2 linked regions of the Tamandua tetradactyla genome follow. Each later gene encodes a partner of the first gene's protein in a complex. Links are inferred from orthologs where the notes say so. Each region holds a gene or a part of one and is shown in the gene's direction. Other genes may lie near its edges. The genes, in order: COP1 and TRIB1.

Region 1 (9,823 bases):
TTTTCTGTCTTTTTCCTGAAAAATAACATATATACAAAAAAGCAAAAAATTGCAAAGCATAGCAAACAATTTACTGTAGAACATATTTCAGAATTTGGTATGGGTTACAATTCTACAATTTTAGGATTTTACTTCTGGCTGCTCAAAGACACTGGAGACTAAAAGAAATATTAATTTAATGATTCAGCAATCATATTCATTTGTTAAACCCCATCTTCTCTGTATAACTCCACCATCATCTTTGATTTTTAGCCCACTTTCTAACCCACTCTTCAAGGGTATTTGGGCTATGGCCATTCTAACTTTTTCATGTTGGAAGGGGCTGTCAATAATATGGTGTAGGGAGATGGAACTATCTGATGTTTTGGAGATGCTGGGCCCTCTTGGTTTCAAGACTCATCTGATCCAGGGACACATCTGGAGGTTGTAGGTTTCTGGAAAGTTACCCTAGTGCATGGGACTTTTGTAGAATCTTATATATTGCTCTAGATGTTCTTTAGGATTGGCCAGAATGGTTTTGGTTGGAGTTTGGTAAGTCATGGTAGGTAGCAATGTCTAACTGAAGCTTGTATAAGCTTGACCTCCAGAGTAGTCTCTCAGCTCTATTTGAACTCTCTCAGCCACTGACACTTTATTAGTTACATTTATCTTCCCCTTTTTGGTCAGGATGGAATTGTTGAGTCCACGGTGCCAGGGCCAGATTCATCCTTGGGAGTCATCTCCCACGCTGCCCGGGAGACTTTCACCCCTGGATGTCATGTCCCACATAGCAGGGAGGGCAATGATTTCACTTGCATAGCTGGGCTTAGAGAGTGAGGCCACATTTGAGCAACAAAAGAGGTCCTTAAGAAATAACTCTTAGGCATGCCTATAGGTAGGCTAAGCTTCTCCGCTACCTATATAAGCTTTGCAACAGTAAGCCTCCAGATCAAGGGCTTGGCCTACTGATTTGGGTGTCCCTAATGTTTGATACAGGATTAGTATCAGGGGACTCCTTGATGGTAAAGTTTAATAATTCCATAGTTCTTCTCCCATCCCTCAAGGGACTTCGCCAATACTTTTTGATTATCTGCTTAATATATTCTACAATGTATCCAAGCATTGCATTAAACTATACTGGATTAAAGGCCCTCATTCTTATTCTGGTCTCCCTGTATTTCAGTTATCTGAATGAGCTATCCAGACAGGTTGAGTTAGATTATGTGCTACAGAAAGTTTAGGTTCCAGACAAAATACGCCTTTCTCCCTTTGGTCTCAAAGCGTAGATGTGGTCCTAAAATACAGACAATGTCTTCCTTATCCCTGTATTCTGAATTACCTTAAATCGGGACCTGACTGGCTTTGTTTTTATCTCTAAATACCAGGTAATAGATACATAAAACAGCCTCTCAAAATCCAGAAATAATAATTACCACTCCAGACTAAATGTGTCTGCCATTAGAGCTTACTATTTAGGCCCCTGTTTTCTTATAAGCATTTTCTAAAGGAGGCCACACAGTAATTGTTCTTTCATTTCTGGCTTATTTTGCCTCATCAAATGTTCCACATGGTTGCATGCCTCACAACTTCGTTCCCTTTTGTAGCAGCACAATATGCTATCATATGTATACACCATCATTCGCTAATCTACTTCTGTCATTGCATCCTTCAACCACCTGCATTCATTAGGCATCATGTACAGTGCTCAAAGTCCACAGTGTATCAACACTCTCAATTTTAGATAATTTCATTATTCCTCAGAGAAAGATAGCCAATTAACACACCCTCACCAAATAGGAAATCTAAACCTTCCCTTAACTTTTGTCCCTCCCCCGATTATTTACGCCTGCTGTTGCTGTGGTACTGCTGACGTTTTCCTGTCAAATACAATGGAGTTCTTTTAACTATTAAACCTTGCTTTTTACTTAATCCTTATTTACATTTTTTATTGTTTTCTCTCCTCCTGTTCTCTATTTCTTTTCTCTTATTTTCAGTTGTCTGACTTCCTTCTCTGTGTTTGTTTTTGCTATGCTTCCTCTTTTCTCTTCTGCTTTCCCAGAAGCTTCTGCAGTAGAAACTGTTTTCGGAATATAGTCTGGTATATTCTGCATTAATCTGGTATAAAAGGGAAATTCCATTGCATTACATCCCTTCAGTTTTGAGGATTTAGATTTTTATTGAAGATAGGTTTCAAAGTGGAAATACTAATCAGTGTTGATTTTTTTTCCTAGGGGACTCAGCTGGGGTCATATCACTTTCTATCATTTGAATAAGGAAGAGAGACTGCTTCACATATTCCTTGTAACTCTCCCACATAATAAAGTAGTGTTTCTCAAAGGGTTGGTCACCTGCATCAGATTCACTTGGATGCTGGGAAAAATGTATATTTGTAGACCCTATCTCAGGTTTATAGAGTCAAAATCTCTAGGGTGGAGTTCAGCAATCTGCAATTTTAACAAACTCGCTACATAATTCTTCTCTGCACCAAAGTTAGAGAGTCACAGAAGTAATAATATGTTCAACAAGTATGAACTATTTGAAGATTGGTATACTATTCCAGTTACCAGATAAAGGCCATGGATTCTTCTGCCTGCTGTGCTCAATAACCAGTTCCTGAGACACCAGGGTTTCAAAGAGAGAAAGAGTTTATTACTAGGCACGTAGTAGGAGAGCAGATGTCCTAATGACCCAACATTTGTCTTCTAGAACTGCAGTAATTCGGGTAGTTTTGTTAGAGAAAAAGTAACCAGGGTTTAGGATAATGAGCAGAGTGACCCCAGATGATATAATTAGAGGTGATGTGATTATTGAGCATGTGCAGATTGATTACATGCTTAGTCACAGAACACATGAAGGAAAATGGCGGAATGAGGTATGGGTGACTTGTAGGTTAAAGCCCAAGCTACTGTGCATGTCAGATGGACCCACTTAAGGTTAAATCTGGTCTCAGTCATCAAGATAATTTGGGACTTGGGGTGGTTTAGTTTCAGGCGGACCCAAGACTTCATTAACAAACATTAAGGGGCTGTCTTTAGTGATTCCAAGACTCTGAAGTTGAAAAACTAGATAACCAGGTACAGATGAAGGTTAGTCATAAAGTTTTTACAATCACAGGGAGAGAAGATAAGGGCTATACAACCGTTACTAGAGATCACGGCAGCTGGATTACAATTCAGAGATTTCAGGTATTTCCCTGTCTATTCCAATATCAGAAAGCTAAAAGGAATATTTATATCAAAATCATCCCTTAAATCCTGATTTCTCGGTTACATTCCGTTACTAATTTCCAAGTATTTCTTGCATGTGCCTTAGCCCTGCAGTTTCAGTCACTGCCTGAATATACTTACTTGAATGTTTTTCATCAGCACATTCCAACTAAATTATCCACTGGAAGTCTCCACTTCTGTCATTGTACTACTGCTATCCCCAGAGTAATTTTTGGAATTATTCATTTCTCTTCATGCTCTATCATTTTTATTTAACATATCGAGTACTGTGCCTAAGCACTGGGAAACACAGAGATGAATAAAACAGACAGAGTCATGCCCTTGAGGATCTTAAAGATTGTTTTAGAGTAACTTAGTCCTATAGATTCCATAGTTTGTTTTTTTTTCTTCCAGAATATTTCCTTGTCTTTCCTGCTACCATCCAAGTCTCTTATCACGTATGCCTGGCCTGCTGTAATTTTTCCTGATTCGTCTATTTGCTCTTAATTTCCCACCTCTTCTGAAAGATTAATCTGTTGATAGCTCAGTATTCTTCAAACAACGTTTTGAATACTTTCTTCCCCCAACTTGTACCTTCATTATTTCCAATTAACTAAAGCATATTTTCCAAACTGGATACTGGCCTTTTCCAATCTGGCCTCCCAGATGAATTTCTCCTGAATACATTCTAGATATCTATACTTGACATAGCATTTTTACTTATTTTTTTGCTTTAAAAAAACAGACTTTTCTTTAAAGGCCTAACTCCTTCCTCCAACAAAAATGACTGTCCCTCAGTACTTGCTCTTGCTTCAGTTCCGGTAGTTATTCTGTTTTACTCATTAAGCATTTAGCATGTGGTCTTTGGTATCATTACTTATTATTATTTTTTTGTATATTTCTCTATTTCCTCAATTATTCCATAGGCTTCTTGAATGCTGGAACAATGTTTTATACACTTCGTTGTCTCTTCCTTGCCCCGTCCATGCTTAATGTCATTCAATAAAGTCATCAAATTCATTATATTCAGTCATTTATGTATTCCATCATCAAATACTTAATTGAATATCCACCGAGGACCAAGCTGATCTTTGCTTTCATGGAACTTCAGTTTAGTTGGTAAGACAGACATTGAACAAATAATTAAAAAAAAAAATGAAATGGATACATTTACTCATTTGTTAGTCAACACTTAGTAATCACCCATCACAGGCCATGTTTTGTGATCCATGTTGGTAGTATAATACTGAAGCAGATGGTAGGGAAGAATCACATATAAACAACTAAAATACAATGTAATAAGTGCAAACATAACATCTTGGCAGCAAAAAGGACGGCCCTATTATCTGTCAAGGAGAGTTAGGGAAGGCATCACATTTCAGTTGGGTCTTGAAAGTGATTTGAAACAAGGGATTGCAATATTTTTGCATGAAAAGGATGGTTCTTAGAAAACTGATAACGCAATTCCTATACCATTACTCTGAGCAGAAACTTGAGCTAAACCCAAGAATCTTGGAATATGAGTGAGCAGTTTAAGGTTGAATTGGAAGAGGGTGTCTGCCATCACTGCCCAGCTGGGCAGCGAGGTTTGGGTTGCTGGATGAACCTTCATTCAGGTTTGTCCTTAATCCTGCCCCCCGGGCCACAGACAGTCAGGTAAGTATGTCGTTTCTCCTGTATGTGTCTTCAACACCCACGACACAATTAAATCTGGGATTCTTTCCTCTAAGAGTCATAGAATGATAGAGTTGGAAAGGATACTAAAAATCACACAGTTCAGTTGTTTCTAACTTACATTCTCTAGAATTTTGGGCATTCTCAAAGTGATAAGCAAAAGTCTGCAAACAATTTTCAATATTCCACAACACCTAAAAGATATTGCACATTTTCGGGTGCCAGGTTTCCCTGTTCTGTGCCAGAATTATATCAGGCCCACATTAAACCAAGGTTCTGAATAATCTATTGTCTGATTAAGTATAGTTCGTTTCCCATAATTGTTATACTCAACTTGGTAAACAACTTTTCAAAATATAGGCGTGAGCTCACAGTCGAACCTGTAAAACTGGTAACTGCTACAAGGTTTGGAATTCACGAAGCACTTTTTACTAAGTTCATCTTACTTTCTCACAACATCATCGAATAGCTTAACAGCAGAGCCCGTTGGCCTGGAGTCTCAGTTTACTGATCTTTCCACTGCTCCGCGCTTCACGTTTCCCTTCCGTGTGCTTACAGCACCTTCATCCCTAACTGGTAAGGCGCCACTGAGTCACATCGTCTGCGTCGCAGAGGGCAGCGACCGCATCGTTCACACCCAGGAGGAATGCGGCTCGCTCCCACGCATGCGTGTACAGCGACTTAACGACTGCTATACTCTTCTTGGTCCCGAGCTGGGACACCCGGGCAAACCCGCAAGGGTCTGCGCCCAAAGCGCGCGTGCGCAGTCACCCATAGCGCCCCCGTCGTCCCCAGGTCCTGTAAACTACCTCGCCACTCTTTACTAATCTGTTCACTCTCCTCAGCAGTTTCACTGGATTAAGACGCCTTCCCTCCAATATGTCAGGCACGAAAACAGCTTTCGACAAGGGATTTTTCCCATTGCTAAGCGCCCAAGGCTTTGGTGCGCGCTGAGGGTCGCTCGGACTGTGTGAAGTTGTATTCCCCGCCGCTCCCGCCCCTTCCGCCGTCCGCGCGCGCGCACGGCCGGCTCACGGCACGCCGGGGTTGGCTGCGGCTGCGACCACGGCGGCGGCGGCGGCGGCGGCGGCGGCCTCGAGAGCGGTAGTGGTTTCTACTCTCCTTCATTAGTTTCCTCCGCCCCCTCCCATCGGACGCTGTTGTGTGGTTGCCTTAAAAAAATAACTTTATTGTTCCACAGCCCCACCTCCCGGCGTGCGCGCGTCCTCAGGATGCACTGAGGCTGAGCGGAGGGCAGGCGGCGGCCGGTCGAGGTCCGGGTCCCTCTCCTCCGAACCCCGGAGGAGAGGGAGTCACGATGTCCGGTAGCCGCCAGGCCGGGTCGGGCTCCGCTGGGACTAGCCCTGGCTCTTCCGCGGCCTCCTCGGTGACTTCCGCCTCCTCGTCCTTATCCTCCTCCCCGTCGCCCCCTTCCGTGGCAGCGTCGGCGGCGGCGCTAGTGTCCGGCGGGGCGGCCCAGGCCGCGGGCTCGGGCGGCCTCGGGGGCTCGGTGCGGCCTGTGTTGGTGGCGGCTGCCGTGTCGGGCAGCGGCGCCGGGAGCGGCGGCGGGGCGGTGTCCGCGGGCCTGTCCCGGATCAGCTGCACGGCCAGGCCCAGCGCCGGCGTAGGTGGGAGCAGCTCCAGCCTAGGTAGCGGCAGCAGGAAGCGACCTTTGCTCACCCCACTCTGCAACGGGCTCATCAACTCCTACGAAGACAAAAGCAACGACTTCGTGTGGTGGGTTTGAAGAGTAATTCCTGCCTCGCTACCTTAAGAGTATCTGTTGGGGTCAGTGAGAGGGTGGCCTGCCTGAGAGCTTGGGATACTGGTGCTCTTATGGTGGTGTCAGAGAGATGGGAGCCAGTAGGTGGTGGAATGGGATGATGGGGTCCTGAGGCAGGGTGGGTAATGAAAAGATAAGTGCAGGTAGGGAGGAAATGAAAGGAGTTTAGGGAATAATAAATAAATGGGAGAGAAGAGATAGAGGGTCACATAAATGATAGAAAAAAGGATAAAATTGGGCAAGCAGGTTGAAGCTTGCTTTTTTCTGGCCAACTTGTATATTAGGTACCCCAGATCAGTTTTATTTCTTGTTGAGGTGAATTAAGTTTGTACAGAACAGAGGGATGGAATTCTGTTTTGGAAGTATGAAGTTGCTTATTGGAAGTATTGTGCATGGAGCTCTAAAAAAACGGGATTGAGGCTGTTTTAAGGGGAAGTAGTATTGAATATAAATATCCACCGTATGTGTATGTGTGTTTAGATACAACTTCTCACATTTCCAAGTGCAGACCACTTGCTTTTAAATCTGCTTTCGAGGCTACTGTAATCAGAAAAGTCTGTTCATAAAAAAAAAAAACTTCTTAATTGAATGTCTTGAAAGAGGAACTGTATTTATTAAGTACCATCAATGTATCAGGCAAACTGTACTATGCTTGTAGAACACAGTGTAATACAGGAACTACTAATTTGAGAAACTCTAGATATTGGAGACTTTGTCGTCATAAAAAAAACAACGCAATGTTTTGTGCATTTTGAATGATACACAGGGATATTAAGTCATGATATTTGACATAGAGAGATTACCCGTATTAAGTTAGAGTTGTCTAGCGATAGGGTTTGGGATTTTCATTGGGCTTTGGATATTGGTAGGATTATGAGAGGATTGTTTTATAGCTGAGAACTGGTAGGATTTTGTCCTTTTCCTCTGGAGGAAATTGTTGATAGGCTTAAGATACTAGTGATGTAAGAAGTTGGCTTGTGCTATTGGAGAAGTTGATTCACTTTTCAGGGTTAAAGATAATCTTGAGTTGGTGTCATTATATGTGATAGAGCTAGAATTGGAACTTAAAGGGAAGTTATTGGTAAGACTTTCAGGTTTTAGCTCCTCCAGAAAAAAATGTGTCTACTCATATTTCTGCTTTAGTCTTAATTATTCTGGATTAAAAATTAACTCATTTTTTTCATTGAAATTCGTCTATAATTGTGATTATAAATAGTTTGAGCAGCTTAAGGTTGGGTGTTTGCCCTCATGCCCAGTAGAGAGTGCCATATGATAAGGTAGAAGCTAATATAACAAAGTGGGGGTTTGCAGAATTTAGTCATTTCAGTTACCATTTACACTTCACTTTTCAGGTTAAAGAAAACAAATGCCAGCATCTGTATATGTATACTAAAATAGTACAAAAGATGTAAGAAATAAAGAAATCATTCATTCAACAAACATTTATTTAGTACTCATTGACAGGCACCATATGAGTTGCATGTACTTTAGGCCATTTTAAAGAGATTTGGTGAGGACAGGGGACATAGAAACAGCTGGCACTGATTTTTTAAGGGCAAGATTATTAAAATTTTTAATAGTCATCACCTTACTTCTAAGAATTTTAATCCACTCTCGAATCCTAGCCATATTCCTTAGATTGTTCTGTTTTCTTTTATATTCTAGTATCAGTGAGATTTTTCAGTTAAAAATTCTGAATATTTCAACTTCTGGGAGCTTATTAGTCCATTATTTGTTTTTCTGGTGAAGTTGAATAATGAAAGAATTAATTAATGGAATCTGTTTTCAGTTTCTCCAGCCAGTTTTGATTTTGGCCAAACCCTTTGGGTAGGAGGACATGGATTGGGCAAGTCTTTGCAAATCCTTTTAGTTTCTAATTGGCTGTAGGTAGCTTGTCTCTCTGGTAGGCCCAAGGGTTGAAGTATGAACCAAATTGCTCTATGCTTTTTTTTTTTTTTTTTTTCACATGGGTAGGCACCAGGAATCGAACCCGGGTCCTCTGGCATGGCAGGCAAGCATTCTTGCCTGCTGAGCCACCATGGCCTGCCCTGCTCTTAGTTTTATATCTACATGAGGCCCAAGTTTGAATAATGATGATTATTCCTTATTTATTTATCATATATTTTTGTATCTCACATCTCGTTTTATTCTTAGAGCACTTCCTATTTTAACATAATACGAATTTAATTAAATTCCCATTAAGTCACAGACAAGTTAAGTAACTGTTTTAGATCAGACAGCTAAGGGACAAAAGTGAGAACTCGGATCTTCCAGTTCTCAGCTTAGTGCTTTCTTTTTATGAAATCGTTAGTCTGATGGTTCTTAAATCGGGCAAATGAGAGGAAAGCAACTGTTTCTTAATGACCTGAGATAAATGTTTTTATCCTTAGCAACTTCTTCCCACTGTCCCTGCTGCTTGCCACTTATCCCAAGAGGACATACCAGGTTTGCAGACTAGAGTGGGCAGTGTAGTTTCCAAAAGCTCTCCAGGTGATAATGGCATATCCTCCTTCCTCTCTTGGGAACAATTGATTTTAAGTCAAATACATAATTTTCGGTAATATACATTGATTTCTCTTGACTGATATCATATTTGAAAATTATGTTTAATTGCAGAAATTATTAAAATTCTAGGGATAATTTGTACTTTTACATTTCATACAAATAAGTTTAACAGTAAATTATAGGTGGAGATTGTGGTACGAGAGAGAAGTATTTAGCTCGACACTGGTCAATTCATTACATTCAAAGAAGTGTTCTTTACTTTTTATTTTACAAATTTCTTTTGCATCGTCCATTTAACTAAACTATGTATCTGTCTTATATTTGGAAGATTTCTCCATTCTTTTATTCTGACTCCTTTATTTCATTTCTGTTCGTAGGTACTGCCTCTTTATTAGTTTTTTTAACTACCTGGAATACCATTTCGATGTCTGGAAATCCTAGTTTCTCAAAGTTGCAGCTGAAGTAATCTGTTTTCAAGTAGATAGTAAGCCCCTTGTTGGAAAGTTACAATCTTAATCATCTGTCTGATAGAAAGTAGTTTAATCGTCTGTCTGATAAAAAGTAGGTAGGATCAAATTATTATGTGAGTCCCATCTTGTGTTAAACTATTAAGACAGACTCTGTCCTTAAGGAGCTCATGATTTAATGCAAAGAAAGACTTTTAATCATGTAATTA
Region 2 (9,950 bases), on another chromosome or scaffold:
GGTGGGAAGGGAGAGAGTGAGGCACATCATCATTTGATCCAAAGCAGGCATGGAGCTGTGCCTGTCGCTGGGTTCAGGAAGCCCATCACACTGTCCCTGGCCTCAGTCCAGCCACCCTGACAAGTGCATGTGGACACCGGACAGGCCACCCAGGTGACAAGTAACCTTCCTTCCTCTCCCTGCCAAGTTATTCTCTCCCTTTTCTAGGCACTGGGCTGTAGTTGTTTATATTTCTGTTCGCTCAGCTTCCCTGAAGAGGGTTCATTCCTGGAAGGGCAGTGACTGTGCTAATTACAGATCAGGTCAAGATGGAAAACATTTTAAAGAGGCAGCAGTGGGCACGAGGGGAGGTGAGAGGTCTTGGTTCAGTGACCAGGAATCTTTCATGGGGGATCAGCCCCTTAGACCTGGGAAGTTGGGGGGTCAGCCTGACTCTCCTCTGACTGCATCTTCCATTGCAGGGTAAGGAGTTGCAGGGGCACGGGGCTATGCCTATAGAGAACCTGCACCTGCCCTTCTCGACCAAATCCCAGCTGTCCTGGGCCCTGGAATCCCCTGCCCTAAAGGCCTGGAATCTGCTTCCAGGATCAGGGGTCTCTTCCCTGGTCCATTTTCCCAAGGTGACCAGCTGCCACCGCTGTCTGCATCTCTGGGACGTGGCTGCTCCAGGAAGGCCCAGGAGCAGTGACTGTTGGGACGCAGTGGTTGTAGATGGAGCTTGAATATGTCAGCCGGGATGTCGTGAATATGCCTGGAGGTCACATGTGGCCAAAGCTGGAAGAGAAGGGGAATCAAGTCACATCCACAAGACTCCGTCTCGCTCAGGTCCCCACACCTGTAGGTGTCTAATGCTTCCCATTCCCTTAAAATAAAAGAAGAGAATTTTTTTTGAATGGAATTTCTCTTCATTGGGAGATTGAGGTGGAGCATAAAGTAGAAAGAGCGAGGCTTGGAGACAGTAACCAGGGTTCAAATCCTAATTTTGCCATCTCGTAGCTGTGTGACCTTAGATAAGCCAGTCAACCTCTCTGAGCCCATTTGTGCAGCTGCACAAATGTTGATAATAACAACTATTTTGTAAAATTGCTTTGAATATTAAATTACAGAATTTGAAAGGGGTCTGGTATATACCAGGAACTCATATACCAGAAATGTTTATTTCATTTCCTAGTTTTTGAGACATTGTCTTTTATATGCTAATACTGTCTTTCCTAGATGTAACCTGACTTTTTTTTGTTTTTGTTTGTTTAAAATTTAGGGTCAGGAAGCATCAAGTACCCGACAAATACCCATTTTTGTATGGCTGCAAAACCTCATGTACTGTGAAGCGGGGAGATGGAAACAGGTAGTTATGAGAACTTTCCCTGCATTTTAGAGTTTGTAGAACGCATGTGTTGTTTCCAGGTATCTACCTTGACATGAATGAAAGTGAATCAAACTTCTCCAAAAAGATGAATACAGGTTTCTCCACATTATGCAATATGTGAGTTCCTGAAAAGTCAGCTATTAATCAAATTTATTTTCCAGTTCAACATGTATTAAGCATTCAGTGTCAGCTCAGCATAGTGCTGAGGCCATGCAGGGTACCCACACACAGACACACACACACACACACACACACACACAATGAGGTGTGATGGGGATTCTGGATTTCCAAGATCTTATTTACCAGGCTACATTCTAAATGTGCCAAAGGGTCTTTCTAATGAAATCACCTGGCAGACCATTTATAAAGCAAGGAACCCGTGCCATGGGAAGAATTACTTCCCAATTAATATCCTATTTCCATATATATTTGTATTTGTAAATGTAGATTTTCATAGTAAAGGCCCCTTACAATCCTGGCACGTGGCAATCCTTTAATAAATCATTTGTCGACTAAATGAATATAGTTCAAAATCAAGGCATACCTATATCTGATAATGTCTCCATTTTGTGCATGGGTGTATAAATCAAAAGTACTTTTCACTTATTTTTACCCACTTGTTTTCATAAGAGCTTTGTAGGGGAGGGAAAGTGGGTCTTTTAGTATGCCCACTTCAAAGGTGAAGCAACCGAGGCACATAAAGGGCAACTGGCTTCCTCTTGTCAGTATCTGAAAAGTCCGACGGAGTTCAATCCAGACTTTGCCAGCAGGGAAAGCCCCAGCGATAAAATTGAGACCATTTTGGTTGGTTCACTCATCCCTTGGCTGACCTGATCTCAGAGCCCCACGAGTCCATGTTCCACTCTCCCGCAGCCCCAAGGCTTAAGCCCCGCTTTCCCCAAAGATCCACACCCCGCTGTTTCCCGGGGATGAACATCAGCCTCTGAAGCCTGAGCCCTACTCTCCAGCTGCCTGTCTTTGCCTGAATACCTGTCCCCCTCCCTGTCTCTTGTCGCCGGCTTTCCTTCTGCTTGACCCTCTGCCCTTGAGCACACTCATTCTGAGTTCTTTTACCAGTGGCACTTACTGAGTTCTTCCTTTGTACCAGGCATGGTGCTGGGGGCTGGAGATACACAGCCATATAAGATACGGCCCCTGCCCTTGGGGAGAGCTGGACGGAGGACCCAGCAGGGCCTGGGAGGGCATTTAAACCTGACTGGGGGGTTGCGGGAGAGCCTCTGCCGGAGGTAACAGCGCTTTTGAGGGATGAGTGGGTTCAGCCCTTGGTGGGGGAGGGGAGGGAAGGGCAGTCCAGAGGGAGAGAGGCGCACCAGTAGAAGTGCACAGGTGTACATTGGTGTGACTTTGGGCCCCTTTTAGGAGCTGGCAGAGGTAGGGTGGAGGCGAGGCGAGGAGAAAGTTGGGAGTGGGAAGGGAAGGGGGGTGCCAAGGAAGAAGGGCTTACTTTTCCCCTGAGTGATTTTTAGGTCAGTGGCCTGAAATGATCACATATGAATTTTAGGAAAATTGCTCTGACAGTTGCATGAGGAATGGATTGAGGGGAGAAGAGACACTTTGTTTCATTCCCCACTCCATCTCCAGCACCTGGTAGGTGCACTAGCACAGAGCAGGTGCTCAGTGTTTGTTAAGGGAATGAATGAGTGAGTTAGAGAAGTCTACTGCAGAAATCCAGGTGAAGACCTTGAACAAAAATTATGAGAGAGGAGAGGAAGGGAGAGGTTCAGAATTTGCATCATTCAGGGTTCTGTAAGAAAAAGGAGCAGAGGCCAGAAAGTTCAATAAAACTCTTGAATGTGGGGGACTAGTTACAAAAGTATTGAAAGAACAGAAACAAGACAAAACCCTGTGGTTCAGGGAGGGGGCCTGTGAGGAGGGCAACCCAGGAGTGAGCAATATCGGGAAGCTGCTACCACCTGGGGGCAGGAGGCAAGAAGTGGTGTTATCACCTGGTTCCAGGAACCAGAAACCCTGCGAGGAGCTGGGTGTGTGAAGAGAGGGCATTCTGGATCAGTTTTCCCACGGAACAACAGCCTTTGCGACGGAGACTAGCGTGCAGGGGCTTCATGATTCATTACGAAACTCTTGGAAGGGAAGGAAAGGAGCAGGATTGGGCAGAAGGAAAAAACAGGCTGTGATGCAATCTCAACAAAGGCCTCGGGTGACCCCAGAGGGAGCTCAGAAGCTGGGGTGCCCTTCGGAGCTGTCCCAAGTGTGAGCAAGGAGGCAGGACCTTTATACTCCCGGGATGACCAGCCATTAAATGTGGACCCTCTGGACAGGGGGCAGGACCCTGGGCAAGGCAGTCTTCTCAGTCAAGGCAGTTTCCAAAAAGGGATCAGATACGCACTCCCAGCAGCTGAGGAAATAAAGTCTTCTGCCTGAAGGGGTGCCTGGGCAGCACATCACAGCAGCCCAGGGGCAGAGCGGTTGCTGGCAGGGGCTGGAGCCACAGAGGAGGTGGAGCCGGGGCCCAACACAGAGAGAAGGGGAGGGGGGCCTGGCTACTCTCCTCCCACCTTCCAGTGTCTCTCCAGAGCTTCCCATTGGGCAAACAGGGCCGGGAGCCAGGGAAGCAGAGTCTGCAAGGCGCAGCCCCAGGTGAGCAGGGGAGGGCAGGCCATGGCTCCGAAAGAGCAAACAGGTGTAGGATGGTCACCCAGTGACCAGTGGACGTGAGAGCTGAGGAAGAAGGAGGAGTCAAGGAGAATTCATTGCCAGGGATTCTGGCCCCAAGGGTGGGTGGGGTACTTGGGTGGTGGTGACCTTTTCACTGAGGAGGGGCAGGGCAGGAGGTGCATGCCCTGGAGTAGGATACATACAATTACAGAGCTTAGTTCTGGCACAAAGGACCTCTGTGGACTCAGCTCCCTGCCACCACTGCAGTCACCCCGATCTGACACTCTCCTTGGACCAACCCTGCCCTCCTCCACATCTCTGCCAGGGCTGGCTACCCACCATTCATACAACCCCCCTGCCCAACTCGGTGACAGTTCCACACACCCTGCAAGGCCCTGGTCAAATACCTTCTAGATAGAGCCCTCCCCCACCCAGTTTTCCTCCCTTTAAATTGCAATCTCTCCTCCTTTGTGTCCCCAGTAGCCCTCCATCACTTAATGGGTTATGTGACCACAGCAAGCAATTTATCCTTTCTATGCTTTAGATTCTTCCTTAGTAAAATGGCAGTAATAGAGTTGTAGGAAAAGTAGTTAGAATAGTGTCAGCACATATTAGGCCTCCATTAATGTTAGCTATTATTATTTGAATTTTCATCTTCTAACCCCCAGAGACTAGCCTTTAGTAGATGCTTAATTAGTATTTGTTGAATGAATGGAGCATTAATTCAGCAAAGGATTTATACATAGGGCTCGACCTGATTTGAGAAAATGCCATATTTAGCAGGAGAACAAGGACTCTCTGATGATAGTTATCTAAGGTGGATGTCCAGGGAAACTGCCTGCTGACCTGATTCTCAAAAAAAAGAAAGAACATAAGATGCCAAACTGTTCCCATAGGGTTTTTTGCAGGGTCCGGCCCACATTTGGTGCTCAATGGAACCAGGCTGCACGAATGCACGCGCACGGGTGGCGGGCGTACCCGGCGGCGGGCAGTCTCGCCGGCTGTGACTTCCACCACCCTACCCACCCACCCTGGGACCGCGGCTGGCCCCGGGGCCCCAGATCCTGCGGCGCGTGTGGAGGCCGGGGAGGGGCAGGAATCCGGCAGCCACGTGGGCCCCTTCCGCCCGCTCCCCACATCCTTTGTTTCCCTGGCTCAGGAAGCTCTTTCAGCGAGTCACCGCGAAGGGGCGGCCCGGGAGCCTGGAGAAGCTATTTCCGTGCAATCCCGGCGGGCGGCAGGCGCGGGAGGGGCGTGGAGGTGGAGGCAGCGCAGAAGGCCCAGTGTTTGCTTTTATTTCATCCAACAGAAGGTTCTATTTGTGGAAGCGAACAGACGCTGGGGATTAGTGCTGGGAGGAGGCAGGAAAAGGGAAAAAAAAAAAAAGCCACATCCACTACCACGCACAGGTCTTCCCCGGAACTACCGCGTAGGAGTGAATGACTGATTCTGGATTTCATCACCTTCCCTATCCTCCCTTCCTCCGGCTACAGCCCACGGCTCGAGCTGGGGCTCCCAAGGCGCGGGACGGTGGGGGATCCCCGGGGCGAAAAGCGTGACCGCAGGGCTGCGGAGAGCGGCGGGTGCAGAAAACCGTGGTGCACGCGCCCTCCCGCCGGGGCCCAGGAGAACTCGCGCGCCCGCCGCGCGGCCGCAGCCCATTGTGCTCGGTGTGAATGGGGAACGCGCACCAATCAGGGGCCGCTTCACCCGTGGCCCCGCCCCTCCCGCCCACTTCCCCGGGACCCTGACGTCACGGGAACTTTTCCTCCGCCCCCTCCTCCTGCTGCTGCTAGCTCCGAGCCGGGGGCCTGCGGGAGGGCGCGCACCGCCTCCTGCCCAGCCCAGCCTAGCCCGGGGGGCGTGTGCGCGCGCCCAAGCCGGCCCCGGATGCACCACCTGCGCCCCAGCGCGCGGTGCGCGCAGCATCCCAAGCCCTCCGGCCCAGTTCCAACCCCCCCTCTATCAGCCAACCCCCCTCCGCCCCGGTGACTGCTCGTAGGGCGGCAGGGCCGGAGCCGTCGCAGCCACCTCATTGCACAACCCGGCTTCCCAACTGTTTACACAGCCCGGCCTGTGAGTGTGTGTGTATACAGCGTGAGTCATCGGGAGGCGGAGGAGGTGGAGGAAAAGGAGAAGGAGTGCACTGGCCGGGATCGGTGCGGCGAACACACTCACTCACACTCAGTCACTCTCTCCGAGCGCGTCTTGCTCGCTCATACACACGCCGGGAGCTCAGGAGCGCGTAGGACCCGAAGCGCCATCGAAAAGTTGCTTCGACTTCTGCTGCGAGACTTCTTGTTCTGGGAAGTGCATTTGCTCCGGGGCTCCGCCAAGCCTGCGAATCCTGTCCTCACCGCTCGGGATCCCGAGAGCGCCGGCGGTCACCGCCGCCCCTTCTCCCTCCGGGACTACCCGCAGCTGCGGCGACAATAGCGGCGGCTGTCCCCAGCGAGGCGCCGGGAGCCGGTGCCCGCCCCCGGGGCAAGCGCCCAGCGTGGTCCCCGCGTGCAACGCGAGCGCCGGGCAGCGGCTCCTGGTCTGCCCTCCGAGGGGACCGAGCCCAACCGGAGCTGCAGACTCCGTCCCGCCGGCTGGAAGAACTCGCGGCGCCGGCGCCCAGCCCGCAGCGCCCTGCGGCGCGGACCCCGGGACATACAAAACCAGCGCCGCCCCGGCCCGGGACGGGATGCGGGCCGGCCCGGTGCGCTCTGCCATGAGTGGCGCCTCGCAGCCCCGCAGCCCGGCCCTGCTACTCCCCGCCGCCCGGGGCGCCCCGGTCAAGCGCCTGCTGGACGCAGACGACGCGGCGGCCGTGGTGGTGGCCAAGTGCCCACGCCTCTCCGAATGCTCGAGCCCCCCGGACTACCTCAGCCCCCCGGGCTCGCCCTGCAGCCCGCAGCCCCCGCCGGTCCCTCCGGGAGCCGGTGGCTCCGGAAGCGCGCCGGGGCCCAGCCGCATCGCCGACTACCTGCTGCTGCCCCTGGCCGAGCGCGAGCATGTGTCCCGGGCGCTGTGCATCCACACCGGCCGCGAGCTGCATTGCAAGGTAGGCGTCCGGGAGGCGGCAGGGATCCGGGGAGACCACGGGGAGGGTGAAGGTGCTTGGGGTTGGGTCCGCGGGCGTTTGGTGCCTCAGGTTTGTTTGGGGTAGGGCGGACACCTGGGGTGAGTCCCTGTAAGACTGATCTGACCCGGCTCGCCCTATTGGGAATCGAGGGGTTTCCGATTGAGTGATAATAAGGGGGGCTCGGGGCGAAGAGGAAGTGGTCGTTAATTGCTTTATTTCTATATTCCTTTACTTAGCGCGCAGCTTAGCGCGTGGCGTTCCATATAAGTTGTGGAATTGAAATGGATTCCAGGGCCATGCCATTCCCCTTCCCTCATTTCCCCCACCCTCCCCGCCTCCCACTGGTCCTGGAAAGAGGCCCTGCCGTGGGTGCCTCCTTGGAGCAGCTGGCAGCACTCTGGCCGGGGTTTCAAGGCATCCGGACTCAGCTGTGGGTGGTAAAGGGGTGGGACGACTGTGTCGGTGTCCTGTCTCGGGGATTCCTGCTGGAACCCGCGCTGGGACGAGTATACCGCTGAGACCCTCCCCGCCCTTCCAGGGGAGCTGTTGGAGGTGGGGGCGGGGTGGTCTTCCGGCCGGGAAGGGTGGTTGGCTCGGAGTAGACAATCTTGGGAAGCCCGCAGCGGCCAGGAGGAACCCTCGCTACCATTCCCGGCTTTATTTTCCGGCCAGCGCTTTTCGCTTGAATAGAAGGGATTCCATCCAGGAGGAGGAGATAGAACTCCTAGAAACAGGATCCGCCGCTTCCTCCTCCAGTGCCCATAGAAGCAGAACATTCCCGCAAGCCACCCATTGTGAACCCGCACCCCACCCCCTGGCACCCCCCGAGAACCCTCCGGGCTGATCCTTTCACGAAAAAGACCTGGTCACCACCCTCACCACCCCCCAGTTAAACTTGCTCCTGGGTTTTTCTCAACTCACCTGACGCCCCCAGCCCCCAGGCTTGCTGCTGCCACCTACTGCCCGCCAGGAATGACCTTTCAAATGCCTGATCAGCCCAGTTTAAAGGGCAAAAAAATTTTTTTCTGGGTAGCTGGGTTAAGGGCTGTTTTGGGAAGAGTATGTGTGCGTTTAGGGGTGGGTGGGTGCGAGGAGGGGGCAGCAGAGGGATTCATCCACTTGGTGCCAGAGCAGCCAGGCCCCAGAGGGGGTGGGGGGTGAGTCTAGCCATTGTGCAACCCCTTCCAGTTCCTCTGAGCAGATAATAGCTGAATCCAGATGGTGACAGCCCGTGTGTCACCGTTTCCAGTTGAGTCTAGGATATGAGTAACCGGATCAAACAAAAGGCCTTAAAGAGACCAGCCGACTTCTTAGAGGAGATACTACCCATTTCCTGGGGGATGGGGTGGGGAGAGCAGGGCAGAAACAGATGGGGGGGAAAAAAAAGCCATTCAGAGGATCCCATACCCTGTGAGAATTTTAACTCCAGCCTGCTGATACCTGAGTCAGGATGCAGGCGGTTGGCTTAAGGCTGCGTTGTCACAGTCTCTGCCCAAGTCATCTGTTCCTCCTGACTAATGACAGCTCTGCATGTTCTCCGGCCCCTGCTTCCGCTGGGAGGCTGCAGAGTCACCACTTTTGTGCCCTCTGGGCTGACCCTTTGGTCTGCAGGAGGCACACAGATTCTCAGTGGTGGCATTGCCTGCAAACAAGGAAGGAACACATAAGATGGGGGCTCTGGTGCTGTATGCTCAGGAGCTGAGTTCTGATGGAAGACAGGCACCTGTCTGTGACGGGGTAACCCTTTGAATATTTGCTAGCCCAGAGCCCTAGATGCTAGGGGTACTAGGGGTGCACAGGGTGAGGTGGCAGAGAAAGGGAATAAATGAATCGAATACTACTATTATCAACCAAAGCAGGCAGGCTGTGAATTTCAGCCCAGCCATGAATTTGGGAGGTGGCCTCTGTTTTTCTAGCCTCCTAAATAGCAGCCTTCTCTCTGCAGGTGTTTCCCATTAAACACTACCAGGACAAAATCAGGCCTTACATCCAGCTGCCGTCACACAGGAACATCACTGGCATCGTAGAAGTGATCCTTGGGGAAACGAAGGCCTATGTCTTCTTTGAGAAGGACTTTGGGGACATGCACTCCTATGTGCGAAGCCGGAAGAGGCTGCGGGAAGAGGAGGCCGCCCGACTTTTCAAGCAGATTGTCTCTGCCGTTGCTCACTGCCACCAGTCGGCCATCGTCCTGGGGGACCTGAAGCTTAGGAAATTCGTCTTCTCCACGGAGGAGAGGTGAGCGGCTGCCACAGCTCCTCCTGTGGCCTTTTGGAACGATAAGGAAGGTGCAGGCTGAGCCAGTTAGGGTCAGTTGTGTTGGTTGAAAACAAAAGCCACGGGCTCAGTTGTCCCAGATTTAGTATTTAGAAGTTCTGCTCCTGAGGAACCACAGCAAAGGTTGGTTTATTTTGCGCTCTCTCTAATGTGGCCTTGGCAATACCTTGGTGCTTCTGTGGGATGTCGTGTGATGCCAGCATACCCCGCCCCCAGCCCCCAACTCCTACCTCATTGTCAGGCTTATTCCTCATTGTTCTCAGAAAGGTCACCTCTTCTGGGGAGCAAATGTCAACCTGGCCTTCACAATGTTGATTCCTAGAGGAAGTTTTCAAATCTTGGCTTCTCCCAGTGTTTCTTTGTACCTAGAAGGTATGGCAGAGCTAGTTGTACTCTTGTATCGGCAGAACTCTGCTGCCCTTCTACACACTGCATTCCTGTTCCATCTCAGGCTTGGTCCCTGATACTTTCTTCACATCCTTTGGTGCCTTTTTTTGAGACAGCTTGTTTGGACACATCTTTAGAAAATAGCCACATTTAATAATAAATGGAAATTGGCTGGAATTCACTGCTAAATATAGATCATGGCTTATATCATAA

What was found.
Region 2: the proteins of COP1 (region 1) and TRIB1 are in contact, whole or in part, in a crystal structure (PDB 5IGQ), measured with the Homo sapiens proteins. The link is inferred for Tamandua tetradactyla from reciprocal best matches to the Homo sapiens genes COP1 and TRIB1. Residues at the interface, in NP_071902.2 of Homo sapiens: Ile423, Ser425, Val441, Lys472, Tyr491, Trp517, Asp534, Ala556, Asn557, Cys559, Ala576, Asp577, His578, Lys600, Ala601, Ser603, Thr618, Lys643, Asn644, Phe645, Phe699; in NP_079471.1 of Homo sapiens: Asp355, Gln356, Ile357, Val358, Pro359, Glu360, Tyr361.

The regions. Positions count from the first base shown.
Region 1 is NC_135330.1:30,140,697-30,150,519, reverse strand, and holds the start of COP1 (E3 ubiquitin-protein ligase COP1), read left to right. Parts: upstream 1-5,992; 5' UTR 5,993-6,177; coding exon 6,178-6,596; intron 6,597-9,823. UniProt on the Homo sapiens protein: E3 ubiquitin-protein ligase that mediates ubiquitination and subsequent proteasomal degradation of target proteins.
Region 2 is NC_135332.1:170,013,854-170,023,803, forward strand, and holds the start of TRIB1 (tribbles homolog 1), read left to right. Parts: upstream 1-6,110; 5' UTR 6,111-6,692; coding exon 6,693-7,052; intron 7,053-7,591; exon of another isoform or gene 7,592-7,625; intron 7,626-9,018; coding exon 9,019-9,311; intron 9,312-9,950. UniProt on the Homo sapiens protein: Adapter protein involved in protein degradation by interacting with COP1 ubiquitin ligase. The COP1-binding motif is masked by autoinhibitory interactions with the protein kinase domain.